Anolis sagrei: one gene and its partner. The protein of the gene in region 1 interacts with the protein of each later gene in a pairwise test. Links are inferred from orthologs where the notes say so. Each region holds a gene or a part of one and is shown on either strand. Other genes may lie near its edges.

The links.
Region 2: the proteins of DISC1 (region 1) and CRNKL1 interact in a two-hybrid assay, tested with the Homo sapiens proteins (2 studies listed by IntAct). The link is inferred for Anolis sagrei from reciprocal best matches to the Homo sapiens genes DISC1 and CRNKL1.

What each region holds. Positions count from the first base shown.
Region 1 is NC_090021.1:60,761,715-60,768,652, forward strand, and holds the start of DISC1 (disrupted in schizophrenia 1 protein), read right to left. Parts: upstream 3,016-6,938; 5' UTR 2,943-3,015; coding exon 2,891-2,942; intron 1-2,890. UniProt on the Homo sapiens protein: Involved in the regulation of multiple aspects of embryonic and adult neurogenesis. Required for neural progenitor proliferation in the ventrical/subventrical zone during embryonic brain development and in the adult dentate gyrus of the hippocampus.
Region 2 is NC_090024.1:139,014,223-139,021,432, forward strand, and holds the start of CRNKL1 (crooked neck-like protein 1), read right to left. Parts: upstream 3,022-7,210; 5' UTR 2,967-3,021; coding exon 2,919-2,966; intron 2,483-2,918; coding exon 2,330-2,482; intron 1,546-2,329; coding exon 1,454-1,545; intron 1,346-1,453; coding exon 1,187-1,345; intron 1,037-1,186; coding exon 870-1,036; intron 1-869. Other genes in the region: CFAP61 (cilia- and flagella-associated protein 61), read left to right, coding at 5,258-5,412, 5,508-5,658. UniProt on the Homo sapiens protein: Involved in pre-mRNA splicing process. As a component of the minor spliceosome, involved in the splicing of U12-type introns in pre-mRNAs.

The DNA of each region.
Region 1 (6,938 bases):
CTGAGTCCACACTGCCATATAGCCCAGTCAGAGGCGGCCCTAGGTAATTTTCAATGGTAAGCAAACAGTATTTTGGTGCCCCCCCCCCCAACCATTGATATATATTTTCTGTTTGTCGTGGGAGTTCTGTGTGCCATATTTGGTTCAATTCCATCATTGGTGGAGTTCAGAATGCTCTTTGATTGTAGGTGAGCTATACATCCCAGTAACTACACTTGCCGCACTTGCTCCCTTGCCTGGCCCGCTTTGGGTCCGGAGGCGTGCCTGAAGACCCCGGCGTGTGCACCAAAAGTCACCTCTTCTCCTGACTTTCTCCTCAGCCATTGGGACCGAGAGAGAGAAAGAGAGAGAGAGAGAGAGAGAGGTGGAGATGCCCACCTTTCCTGAAGGTAGGCACAAAAACAAAGGAGGGAGCGGAGGTAGGAGATACCTCCAGCTGGAGGGGCTCTCTCTCTCTCTCTCTTGGTCCCAATGGCTGAAGAGAAAGTCAGGAGAAGAGGTGACTTTTGGTGCGCACGCTGGGGTCTTCAGACACGCCTCCGGACCCGAAGCGGGCCAGGCGCGACGGCTCCGCCCCTTGGACCACCCGTGGATTGGGGAGAGGAGAGGAGGCAGGTGAAGCGCCGGGGGATCGGGAAAGGGAGCCGGTCATGGGGAAGGGATCGAGTGCGGAGAATGATTGAGCGCTGGCTCTGCTCGTGCACCCGGTGGCCAGGTGGAGCAGGAACGAGAGGGGCTAGGCGAGGTTCAAGGGCCCAGCCCCTTTGGGAAGAGGATCGCCCAGCAGCGAGGCAAGAAAGCCGAGGCTCCCCCCGGACTGCTAGGGCTGTTGTGAGCTGAGGGGGCACTCTTCAAGTGGCAGTCGAGGGGCATTTACAGAGGTGCCTCTGTGCCCCTGGCAAAAAAAAGTGTTCTGTGACCGCTTACTTTGCGTAGTGGACGGGCCGCCCCTGAGCCCAGTTCAAAACAGATAATGTGGGATGGAAGGGAGCCATAGAGTGTTTGCATTATTTCTGCTCAAACTGGGACTAGCAGCTGAATGTAGACCAATACAGACACTTCCCAAGTTGCAAACAACATGGGTTCTGTAGATTTGTTCTTAAGTTGAATTTGCATGTAAATCAAAACAGGTACATTTGTAAGTGTAGCTCCAACCAAAAATATATATGGGTTGCTCTGAGGTTTCCTGGCTGTATGTCTATGTTCCATAAGCATTGTCTCCTGATGTTTTGTCCACATCTATGGCATGGCATCCTCAGAGGTTGTGAGATCTGTTGGAAATAGGCAAGTGAGGTTTATACATCTGTGGAATGTCCAGGGTGGGAGAAAGAACTCTTGTCTGTTTGAGGCAAGTGTGAATATTGCAATAGACCACGTTTGTTAGCACTGAATGGACTTGCTGCTTCAAAGCCAGGCTGCTTCCTGCCTGGGGGAATGCTTTGTTGGGAGGTGTTAGCTGATCCTGATTGTTTCATGTCTTGTTTTCATGTCATTCAAGATAGAATGCTTCTGGAACATGGCCATACACCTCGGAAAAATCACAGCAACCCAGTGGTTCCAGCCATGAAAGTCTTCAACAAAACAAATATATATACGTGTTAGCTCTGGATGGCATAGGGAAGGGTGAACACTCTGTGTTGTTAGTTTTGCTGTCTGTACCCATTCAGAAGATTTCACCTCACATTCTGTCCCTGTGATAACTGAACTGTGAACATTTTGGCTTGTTGTGGAACCAAGGATTGGTGATAAAGCTTCAGTGGAGACCCCTTTCCCCCATGATAACTCTTCCAGGAGTGAATTTCCCTTCCAAAGGGTAGGTTTCTCTCACTTCCTGTGGTCACACCCCTATTCTTAACTATGAGTCTTTTGTAAGTTGGATGTTTGTAACTCAGGGACTATCTGAGCTAAATTAGAAATCTCAGGATTCCATGGGATGTTGCCATGGCAATAAAGTGGAATCATAGTGCTATAATTGCATAGCATGAATGTGCCCCCAGATTGAAGTTATTCCATGACCGATGAATATCTATCACAGCAACACAAGCCTGGATAGCCTTTATCAACATTTTTAGCCTAGAAGAGTATAGATATACAGATATAGTCTGTAAATACAATTAAAACTGCAGTATATGGTCAGTGTAGATACTGGCTAGATGTATGCTGCCATATAATGCAATTTAACTGCATTGATCTGGATTTTAGGGCAGTGTAGAATCTAGTCCAATGCTGTCAAATTCCAGTGAAGATCCAGCCTCACATAATGTAGTAAAATTGCACCATATGAATTATACTGACCATATAATGCAATTTCAAACTGCATTATATCACAATGTTGAATTATGCATGGGCAAACTTGGGCCTTTTGGACTTCAACTCCCACCAATCCTAACAGGAAAGGACCTGAGGCTGTTAGGAATGGTGGAAGTCCAAAAGCCCTGGAGGGAGGGCCCAAGTTTGCCCATGCCTGTTGTGACAGCAGGGACCTCTATGGGACATCTTCTGGGCCCTTGGGTGTGTCTACGCTGTAGAATTAATGCAGTTCAACAGCAGTTGAACTGCTCTGGGATGCCGACGTTATAGTTTTACAAGGCCTTGAGCCTTCTTGGCCACAGAGCGCTTCATCAAACCACGACTCCCATGAGTTCATAGCAGTGAGTTGAAAATGTTGGGAGTGGAGATGCCTATTCCCGCTCCCGGCCAGGAGGGGGCGCGCGAGAGGAAGGAGGCTTCCCGGGGTGGCGGCGAAACCCCTACCAGAAGGGCTCGTGCTTCCCCGGGCAAAGGAGAGGCGGCGCGCGGCCGTCCCGGGGAAACTCCTTTGTTTGCTGCCTGTTGGCCATCGCCACTCCCACCCGCTTCTGCTCCCTCCCGAGAAGCCCCCACTCCTCACCGGGGTCTCGCTCCGTGCCGCCCGAAGCCGAGGGGTCGCCGCTGCTCCACATCCTCGGGTGGCTGCTTCCCCTCCCCTCCTTCCCCGCCCCCAGACCGTCGGAAGGACCCAAAGGCCGCCCCGTTTGGCTTGGGAAAGAGGCGGGAGGGACGCCTCTTCTCTCCATCCCTCCCTCCCTCGGGCCTCCCAGGCGCTTCCCTCCCTTGTATCCGCACTAGAGAATTAATGCGCTTCGGCCCCGCTTGAACCGGCATGGCTCAGGGCTGTTGGAATGTTGGCAGTTCACTTTCACAGGGTCTTTCTTCAGCCATCGCGGTCAAAGAGCGCTGGGGCCTTGCGCCAAATTGCATCGCCCAGGATGCCATAGCATTTGGCCAGCTAAAGGACCTCATCGCACTAGAGAATGAATCCACTTTAAATCTGGTTGCTGCCTCTTGCAGAATTCTGGGTTTTGTAATTTAGGGAGGAGCCTTTAACAGCATCACTAAACTACAAACCCCAGAATTCTGCAAGAGGAGGCAGCAACCAAATTCATTCTCTAGTGTGATGAAGTACAAAGTGATGCCAAGCTGCATCAATTCTGTTACAATGAATGAGAAACTCCCTCCTGGGCACACACAAGTGTGGAAGGGCTGGAGGCACTGAACAGGCTGCGCTCTAGTAACAGGGGATTCTTACTTCAGATTCTTACTCAGACGGTCTCTCTTTATGTGCCTTCAAGTCACCTGCTAACTTACAGAGACAATGAAGGAATACTCAGAAGGTTTTCCCCAGTCCGTTACTTACAAATATTGTGTGCAGCACCTGGTATCTGGCACAACCTGGGGATCACAACTAGACAGTGAAGACATCTGCCCTTGCGCTTTGCTATGCTGCTGAATATCTATGCCCAATGTGGAACTCATCTCGCCATGCTAAAACAGTGGGTGTGGCTCTTAATGAGACATGCCGCATTATTACAGGGTGTCTACACCATACACCACTGCAGAAATTATAGTGTTTCCCTGCATCCATCGGGAAGTAGTGGCCATTAATGAAAGGACCAAGGCATTGACATTTCCGGCCCATGTTCTGTCCAGATATCAGCAAGCATGCCAACGTCTTAAATCAAGAAACAGCTTCCTAAGATCTACAAAGATACTCGCAGGAACACCCCAGCAAGGAAGAATCCAAAAGTGGCAGGCAAAAACACAGAAATGTGCCACCACACAAATCTCTGTTGTGACTGCCTTCCATCTGGAAATCTATGTCAACGTGAAACACCACGTGGATGAAGAATAGGTCTTCACCATCATTTATGGGAGACAGTAATACTCGGCCACAAGCAGGCCCGTAGCCAGGATTTCGTTTCGGGGGGAGGGTGATTTTTGGGGGGGGGGGTTCGGGGGGGCTGAGTTTCGGGGGGGGGCTGAGTCTGAGTGAAAGAGGGTCTAACCTAGCAAACCTTTTGTATCATTACCCCAATACCCCCATGCATATGGGATATATTGAGAATGGTGATCAGATCATGATATGAATAAACAACAGTTTAAATAATGCACCAGTAAGGCCTTTTCGCGAACCACCATGAGAATTTCGGGGGGGGGGGGGCTGAAGCCCCTCAAGCCCCCCCCCCCCCCAGCTACATGCCTGGCCACAAGTGATCACTCTTATACCATATGCACAACAGACCTACAAGCACGACTCTGCTTAGCTGATGTCAGCTAGATATGACTATTATGCAAAACCATTCTGTATAAGGAGTGCAATTTTCTTTGTGGATGCAGCAAGTTTTTATGTCACCAGGATTCCTGGATCCTGCAAGATTTTAATCCCCATTGTACAATGATGGTTATAATTAGCGTTATGGGAAATTTCTGGGGACATGCTCAACCACACTTATTATTAAGTGCTACTCCCTAGGAATTAAGTCTTTATACTGAGAGTATGTAACAGAGTTTTATGCTTGGCAAAACAATCAAGACTGTTTTCCTCTTAGGCTGCCTTGTATTCACTATAACAGGCTTAACCGGAAGTTCTCTCACACACGTACATCACTTGATTCTCTATTGTTTGGAGACTCAAGTGGGAAAACATGCATGTATCAATGAGTTCTCAAAGCACCCAAAGGGCACTTCTGTCTTTACAGAAGGAGAGGATTGTTATTTGGAAGAGAAGTAAATATGTTCAAATTGACTTCTTAGAAGAAGAAAAAAACCAAGTCCTTAATCTGACTCATTGACTTCAGGGAATGCTATCAGACCTGTGAAAACCATTTCTATGTATGTTGCAAAAGCTGGATAGTAAAGAAATCTGATAGGAAGATATTCTACTCATTTGAAATGTGGTGCTTGAGAAGAGTTTGGATACTGTGGATTGCTATAAAAAGCAATAAATGGGTCCTAGAGCAAATCAAGTCTGAACTCTCCCTAGAAGCCAACATGGCTAAACCGAGATGTTGGCCATATTTTGAGAAGACATGACTCACTAGAAAAGGCAATTGTGCTTGGTGAGGTAGAAGGCAGCAGGAAAAGAGGAGGACTACAATTCCAGATGGGTGGGCTCAATCAAGGAAGCCATGACTCTGAGTCTGCAAGATCTGAGCAGGGTAACTTGGAGGTTCATCGTTCATGGGGTTTGATGGCAGTTAACAACAATAATATCGATTCCAAAAGAGCCACTGTCATGAAGTGGTTCAACTCTCAAGCTAGATCTCCAGGGGACCCCTTACCCATGGAAAAATACAGGCACACTTGGACAAGTTGAACTCTTTCCATCATGAGCACTAAGGCAAATCTTGCAAAGAAAACAATATAGCATAATTGTCATAAGATGGGAGTTGATTTGAAGACAGTTACTTAAAAACCTCAACACATACTGCATTTTCCAATAATACTTTAAGCTTCACCTTATTTCATCCATTCTGGAGCCATAATGGCTTTATCTTACTAAACGGTTAATAGTCCTAAAATGCTAGGTGACATCAGCATTGTGTCTGTTTAATACAGTCATAATCCTACATAGTCTATACATGTAGAAAGCATAGTTATTGTAACTGAGTGGTTGCCTCTCTCTCTCTCTCTCTCTCTCTCTTGCTTTGCAAGTATTGCCTTTTTGTTATTTGTTTATTGTATTGTTTGTAATGTAGAATGCATAGTTATTGTAACTGAAATTAAATGCAGTGGTTGCCTCTCAAAAATTAATGAACAAAAAGAAAACACTCAGTGATGCCTGAATGTCATGACATCATAGAACTTGTCCCAACTCTTTTAAAGACAAGCATGCCATCAGGAACAACAACATCTTCTCTATCAGAAGCTATTATTATTATTCCCCTCTTTATCTCCCCAAAGGGGATGCAAAGTGGCTTGACATAAAAGCATTAGTATACAATTTAAAATATAAAAAAATGTGAGCATTAAAGTAGAATTAAACACATATGCCACTAAAAAAATTCATAGTTAAAAACATCAAAAAAACCACAGCATCCCCTTACTAGATCTTAAAGACTTTTATCTTTAAAAGCCTGCAGGAATAAAAAGGTTTTAGCTTGCCACCGGAAGGACAGCAGGCAAGGGGCCATTCTGGCTTCCCTGGGTAGAGAGGTCCAGAGTCGAGGGGAAGGAAGGCCCTCTCTCTTGTTCCCACCAACTGAGCTTGAGATGAAGGTGGGACCGAGAGAAGAGCCTCTCCTGAAGATCTCAGTGCCCGAGCAGATTCGTACAAGGAGATGTGGTCAGCCAAATAGCATGGACCTGACCGTCTAGGGCAGTGGTTCCTAACCTGTGGTATGTGGACCACCAGTTGCAATAAAAATAGTCCATGTTTCCTAAAGTCAGAAAAAAGATATCGATCCAAATATGCAACTTGCATTTTGACTTCTTAAGGTGAAGGTTAAGTCTAGTCGTGTCTGACTCTGGGGGGTGGTGCTCATCTTTACTTCTAAGTCGAAGAGCCGATGTTTTCTGTAGACACCTTCAAGGTCATGTGGCCGGCATGACTGCATGGAGCACCATTACCTTCCCACAGAAGCGGTACCTATTAATCCACTTACATTTGCATGCTTCTG
Region 2 (7,210 bases), on another chromosome or scaffold:
CTGACTGAATTATGAAAAACAATACTGTACTGTTTGTTGGTTTTTAAGAAAGCAAGGAAGGGAAGTCAAGGAGACACAGCTCATATTTTTCTCCTTAATAGCTAATTTTCTGTTTGATATCAAAAAAACCAAAACAAAGGTAAACCAATAAGAGACAAATTGGAAGAAAGTTACAGAATATCTAAAAGAAAAGAAATATAAGATGTTAATATAGAAATTAAAAATCAACCTCAAATGAATGAAGGGGAGATGGAATGATGAAGGAAGAAAAAAAGAGAGAAAAAGTAAGGAAGAAGGAAAAGGAGGACACCTCACAGAAGATACTCTGGAAGTCAAGAAGATACATTTCTCTTTTTCATTTTTTTGTTATTTTTAATTTAAGGTATATTTCACTAGTTTTTTTTCCTCTTGTCTCTTCTATCTCCACCTTTTTCTTGTCTTTTCTTTACTTTTCTGATATTTTAAATCATGTTATAGAAAGATTTCAATAAAGATATATTTTAAAATAGCTAATTTTCTGTCTCCTACACTATCAAATAGGCAGATTTTATTATACTATGTAATCCAGTTTGGAAAAAAATCTATTTCTCATTGAGATTCTTATCAGATAATCATTGAAAAACTACAAATAAATTATTATTATTATTATTACTACTACTACTACTACTACTATAGAAAAATATGTTGCAGGATGTCCCACAAAAACAAAGTTTTTGCTGTTTAACAAACCTTTTCCATGTTTTTATGATAGAACCAATTAGGAAATAACATTTATAATTCAGGAACAAAAATCATGTTATATAGTGTTATTGGAAGAAAAAATATGAACAAATCATGAAGTTGACACTGGAATACACTGAAAAGGATATATCTTTCATAAATAGCCCGTGCTCTGTCCACCTCCTTGTATCTAAGCTCAAAGTTAATGAAGGAATGCCAAGCTTGTTCCTCTGGCTGCCACTCCATCCAGCGTTCAAACACCTGGCGGGTCCCAGCAATGTTTCCCAACATCTCTTCCATGTAAGTATATTTGTACCTATGCAAGTAAAAGCAACATAAGAAAGGGCAGTTCTGTCATCTAATTAATGAAGTGATTTTACACAAAAATACAGCAAAAATACATTTTCACAGGAATATTTATTTCAGTTTACTACTGTTTGAAAAGCACCAAACATGCTTAGCTTACCAGAACTGATTGACTCTTGGTAAAGTTGTGATGGCACGGTCCCAAATATTTCGAGAATGATTGACTTGGCGGTTCTTCATTTCCATCTCCGCATACTTTAGCCAAAGGGTGACATTTCGGTAGTCCACATCTAGAGCACGCTCGTAGATGGAACGAGCCCTGACAGCAAAACAGGGTTGAAATTAATGCATTTGAAATTCCAATCTTAAGGTAATGACCACTATTGGTTATTTATGCAGCAAATGATGCCCAAAGGGAAATAGTTACCTTTGTATTTCTTTGAGGCTTTCCTCCCATTGTGCGTACTTGATCCAGTTGCTAATAACTGTCCGATTTTTTCTTATGTTATCTTCAAAAGTCTATAGAAAAAGCATGGGGCAAATTTCTAAAATTATTTTTAGAGCAACAATAACTCTACTTCACTACACAATATGTCAACACAGACTATGTTTAGTGCTTTTCTATTCCCCATAGAGAAGTATTCAAACAAGTATTAAGCAGAATAAACAAAAACAGAATACCTCTAAGGACATGATTCAGATTAATAATTTTCAGAATCAGAAACGAGGTCAACAGTCCTTTCCTGCAGTGAAGTGCCAAGCTCATGATAGCCTTACGATAATATTCATGAGCAGCTACAAGGATGCTATTTAAGATGATGATGATGATAATGATAATAATAATAATAACAACAACTTTATTTTTATGCCCCGCCTCCATCTCCCTTAAAGAACTTGGGGCGGCTTGCACATGGGACAAAATGTCCACAGAACATCAAAACAAAACAATCCATTAAAACAAAAACCACAATTAAAATAAAACATAGCAAAGCATAACAATAAACTAAAACACAATTAAATAAAACATAAGGGTATAAAACAGCAGCATTAAAACTCACTCAAACAATACACAACAAAAACCAATAACCAAAATTCTAAGATGGGCATGATCAGGGTATAAAGAAGACCGGACCTAGGATAGTGCAAAACTTCAAGATTTCACTTTCTTTACATCCAATCATATTCTCCAGGAGCTTTGCTTTACAGGTTAATGTGTATTTTAAATAATGTGTATTTTAAGTAACTGTGATATAAGCTTAAATAAATGCTATCACAACACCAGTAGATCATAATATTTACTTACTTTTCTTTTGCGAAGTTTATAATCATTTAGTTCTTCTTCATCTGTGATCTTCTGTTGAGGGGGTGGGGGGAGTAGCTCAAGCTCTCTCTCCTTTGCTTCTCTTAAGAGCTGCTCTGCTGTGATCTGTACTTCTGCAGGGGCTTTGTTCTTTACCTGTGGAGGTATGGGATCAGCAAAAGTTAACAAATCATATGGAAATATTGAAATTTAGCCCATATTTACATTACAACACATGCACAAAACCACATATATACACATATTCACAAATATATACACACACAAAACACATATACACAGATTGGGCCACAGCAACGCGTGGAAGGGGACGGTTAGTTACTATTAAAACAATAGTTCTTTTCATTTTGGATGCAACCTTAGTAGCTGGCCCTGCTCAACCGAGTGCTGCGAAAAGGCCCCTCTCTCCCAGAAGAGCGCGGCCTCCCACTTTCCCTGCCACTTTCCCCCCCTCGACTATCCCCCTCAGCCCAAGCTGACTCCTTTTCTGTTCCGAAGTCAAGTCCCGAGGGGACTGAACCCCGAAGAGAAGCACACAGAAATAAGTGACCCTGCCATTGCTTCGCGCCCTCACCTTGGCTACTTTGGGGATCCGCTGCTTCCCGGCCGCCGTAGACGCCATTTTCGCAGCGCTTCCGACGAAGTCTCTACTAAGCTCCGCCTCCGCTTCCCATCATTCCGCGCGGCCGGCAAGCTCGACCTCTCCGTCGCCTTGGCAACGGGCACGCGCCGCGGTCCTGATTCAGAGCTCGAAGCCCAGCAGCACATTGAGAGGCCTCCCTTGCTGAAAGGTGAGTCCTGCGGGATGCTTTGAAGTGGGTTATCTCAGCCCACACTCAAGGCTCTTCCACACAGCCCTATATCCCAGAATATCAAGGCACAAAACCCCACTTTATCTAAGTGTGGACTCAGATAACGCAGTTCAAAGCAGATATTGCGGGATTTTCTGCCTTGATATTCTGGGATATAGGGCTGTGTGGAAGGGCCCCTAGAATCCCTGCCCATTGAACAAGATGGTTAGGCCTTGTATTGTCGAAAGCTTTCATGGCCGGAATCACTGGGTTGTTGTAGGTTTTTTCGGGCTATATGGCCATGTTCTAGAGGCATTTTCTCCTGACGTTTCTCCTGCATCTATGGCAAGCATCCTCAGAGGTAGTGAGGTCTGTTGGAACTAGGAAAATGGGTTTACATATCTGTGGAATGACCAGGATGGGACAAAGGACTCTTGTCTGCAGGGCCGTAGCCAGAAAAAAATTTCAGGAGGGGTTGAAATTTTCAGGGGGGGGTTTGAAATTTTCGGCCGTGGGGAGGGTTGAAACCTGCCTCCTAGCTCACGCTGAAGCAAAGAGCACAGCAGAGGGCAGAGCAGCCTTCAATAGCCTGCAGCTCCGCCCCTGTCAACCACCTCCACCAAGTCTGGCCTCCTTAATGAGAGCATTCAACATGCACACCCCCAACTTGGTTGCTTCACTACATCAGCTATTGCTGCAAGTAATGACAGTGTGAATAAATTGTCAATATTTGCTTGAGATAGTGCTTGCAGTTCTGGAGGGACTCTTAATTTTTTGCATCTCATAGACAGCATGGGGATTTGGTTAACCAGTTAAAATTCATGAGTAACCCAGGTTTTTTAAAAAAATCTGAAACATTTCGGGGGGGGGGGGGTTGAACCCCTAAAACCACCCCCTCGCTTCAGGCCTGCTTGTCTGTTGGAGCCAGGTGTGAATGTTTCAACTGACCACCTTGATTAGCATTTGTTGGCCTGACTGTTGTTTGAAAATCCAACAAATGCTATGTTCAGCAAAGGACAAGAGGGATCCTCTCACTTCTGCAGAAGTCTACCATGTACCATGCAGGTGTGGACAAGTCAACATAGGGACCACCAAACACAGCGCCCAAACACAGATCAAGGAACATGAAAGGCACTGCAGACTACTTCAACCAGAGAAATCAGCCATAGCAGAGCACCTGATGAACCAACCTGGACACAGCATATTGTTTGAGAACACAGAAATGCTGGACCACTCTCACAACCACCATGTCAGACTACACAGAGAAGCCATTGAAATCCACAAGCATGTGGACAATTTCAACAGAAAGGAGGAAACCATGAAAATGAACAAAATCTGGCTACCAGTATTAAAAAACCTCAAAAATTAAAACAGCAAAACAACAGAGAGGAAGCAATCTGGGACATCTAATCACCTCTCAACAAAAGATTGCCCCAGGCACTGCCAGGCCATCAAATGCTAATCAAGGTGGTAAGTTGAAACAATCACACCTAGCTCCAGCAGAAAAGAGTCCTTTGTCCCACTCTGGTCATTCCACAGATATATAAACCCTTTTTGCTAGTTCCATCAGACCTCACTACCTCTGAGGATGCTTGCCATAGATGCAGGCAAAACATCAGGAGAGAATGCCTCTAGAACATGGCCCACTGCACACTTCTGTCATGCAAGTATGTGTACAACTGAACTGCACAACTAGTTCAACAGCTAACCCTAAATTCCTGTCATAGAGGAATCTAGGGATTGAAGAAAGTGACATTCCTTACAAAACTGCAATGTCCGTGATAGCTGATAACATATCAACTGTTTTTGTATGGTTGGAAAAACTGGAAACCAATTGTAGAAAGTCATTAATGTCCCATGCATATTTATTAGAAACCTGAAGTGTAAGCATAAATCACACATTGCCTGATCTAATAAGTTGGGTTCATTTTGTAATAGTAAAAGAAGTTATGTGAAAGTGCATATAATTTTAGCCAATCAGTTTTATACATAGGACCATACTGCAAAAATTGGTGTCATTTTAAATTACTTCTACATTTTTGTCATTATTTTCAGTTTTGTCCTGGGCTATAACTCATTTGTCTGAAGAAGCATTTTTCCTCTTTGTGTTGCAGTTTAGAATATGACTTCATTATTACGTCTAACATCATCGTCTATTCAATCTACTGTCACACTCAGTGCCAGAAGAACAGAATCCCATGATATTCCTAATATTGTTGGTCACATGAAATATGATACAGAAAGACTTTTTGGCAGAGTCAATGTTATTTATCTTTTGTAAGTAACACAATGGTAACTATTTATCCTAATTAAAAATCCTGTAATTTATTTTTACTTGTTCCATCAATGAAATCTAAACATTTGTTTTACAGAGAAAAAGCCAACCTTGCAGTGACTGTGATTAATGAGAAGAATATACCTGTTGCTCATGCTGCATTTGTGGACTACCCCAATTGGGATTTTGTTGATGAGGCTCACTGGGAATCATACTTAGAAGAAAATTATGATAATGTTAGGTGTACGGTATGTAGGGAGCATTTTTCTTGAATGATGTAATCTTAATATTTTTCATTATTATGTATTTGTGTTGAGAAATTAGTTCAAGTCCAGCTTATAACATTTAATAGTCTTATCCAAGTGGCTAAATGTAGGAAAGTCTTTTATTTCCATTTAATGTCATTGCTGTTGCCTTGCACAATGCATTCTTGAATGCTGTTACTGTCAGGGGATGGAATATTGCTTGTGTTTAGTAATCTGACTTTAAGGCAAGTAGAAATGAACGCTCTTAGCTTTAGGCCAAAAAAAATTCTGCAAAGCTTTTATGAGAATATTGCTTTCACACCACATTTTACGACAAACTCATCAAAACTAGTGATGTGCAACCTCAAATCTCATGGTTAAGAATTCTGAAGTCCCCATGGGAAAATCACAGAAGAATAAAAGGGTGAAAAATAATCACAAAAATAATGGAAATAATAATAATAATAATAATATTAAAGGGCCCTTCCTTCCTTCTATTCTTCCTCCCTTCCTCCCCTGCCTCCCCAAACCCAAGGCCTGAAGGCAAATATTTTATGAATACATTTTTGGGAATATTTTTATGATTATTTCAGCAAACATTTTAATGAATATTTCTGCAAATATTTTTAGGATTTTTTTTCTGAAAATATATTTGTGAGTATTTTGATTATTTCTGAGAATATTTTTCCCAAATATTTCAGCATATATTTTTCTGAACATATTTTGTGAATATTTTTTGTGAATAATTCCTGGGAATATTTTTATGATTATTTTTTGAAATAATTTGTTGAACATTTTGTGAATATTTCTGCAAATATGTTACGAATTCTATAACTCTTTTTGTGGCTATGTTAATGAATATTTCTGACAATATTTTTGTGATTATTTCAGTGAATATTTCTGACAATATTTTGTATATATTTTATGATCATTTCTGTGAATATTTTTGTGAATATTTCTGCATCCTTTTGTGATTATTTCAATGAATATTTGTGCAAATATTTAAATCAATATTTTTGAAATAATTTCTTGAATAGTTTTTAAATATTTCTGCAAATATTTTGTTTAATGTATAGTTATATGCTATTGTTTTAGTTAGCATGCTTTGGTTTTGTATATATGTTGGCACTGAATCCTGCCTTTCCTTTGAGTCTCCCCAGGGGTGAGAAAAGCAGTATATAAATGCAATAAATAAGTAAGTAAATAAATAAATAAATAAATAAAGAGAACTCTCTTGGTGCACTGGGTGGTTTCCAATTCTACATCTTTAAAAAGTACCCAAACTGTCAGAGACAAGGTTCGTCCCATTGCAAGAAGGAGCAGTTCAACATAGCATGGGCTTCCTGTTGTTTATTTGTTTAACATGATGTCCAAACATGGCACTCTTTCTCTTGACGAGTCAGAGCAAGAGTTTCTTCTTATCTTATTTCTTTAATGTTCTAGAGAAAATATAGGTCAATGTGCTGATTTTAGACTTCAGAAATATTGTTGCAGTTTGTTGTTGCAATATATTCACTTTTTTCAACAGTTGAGTAACACCTTTAAATGTAATGAA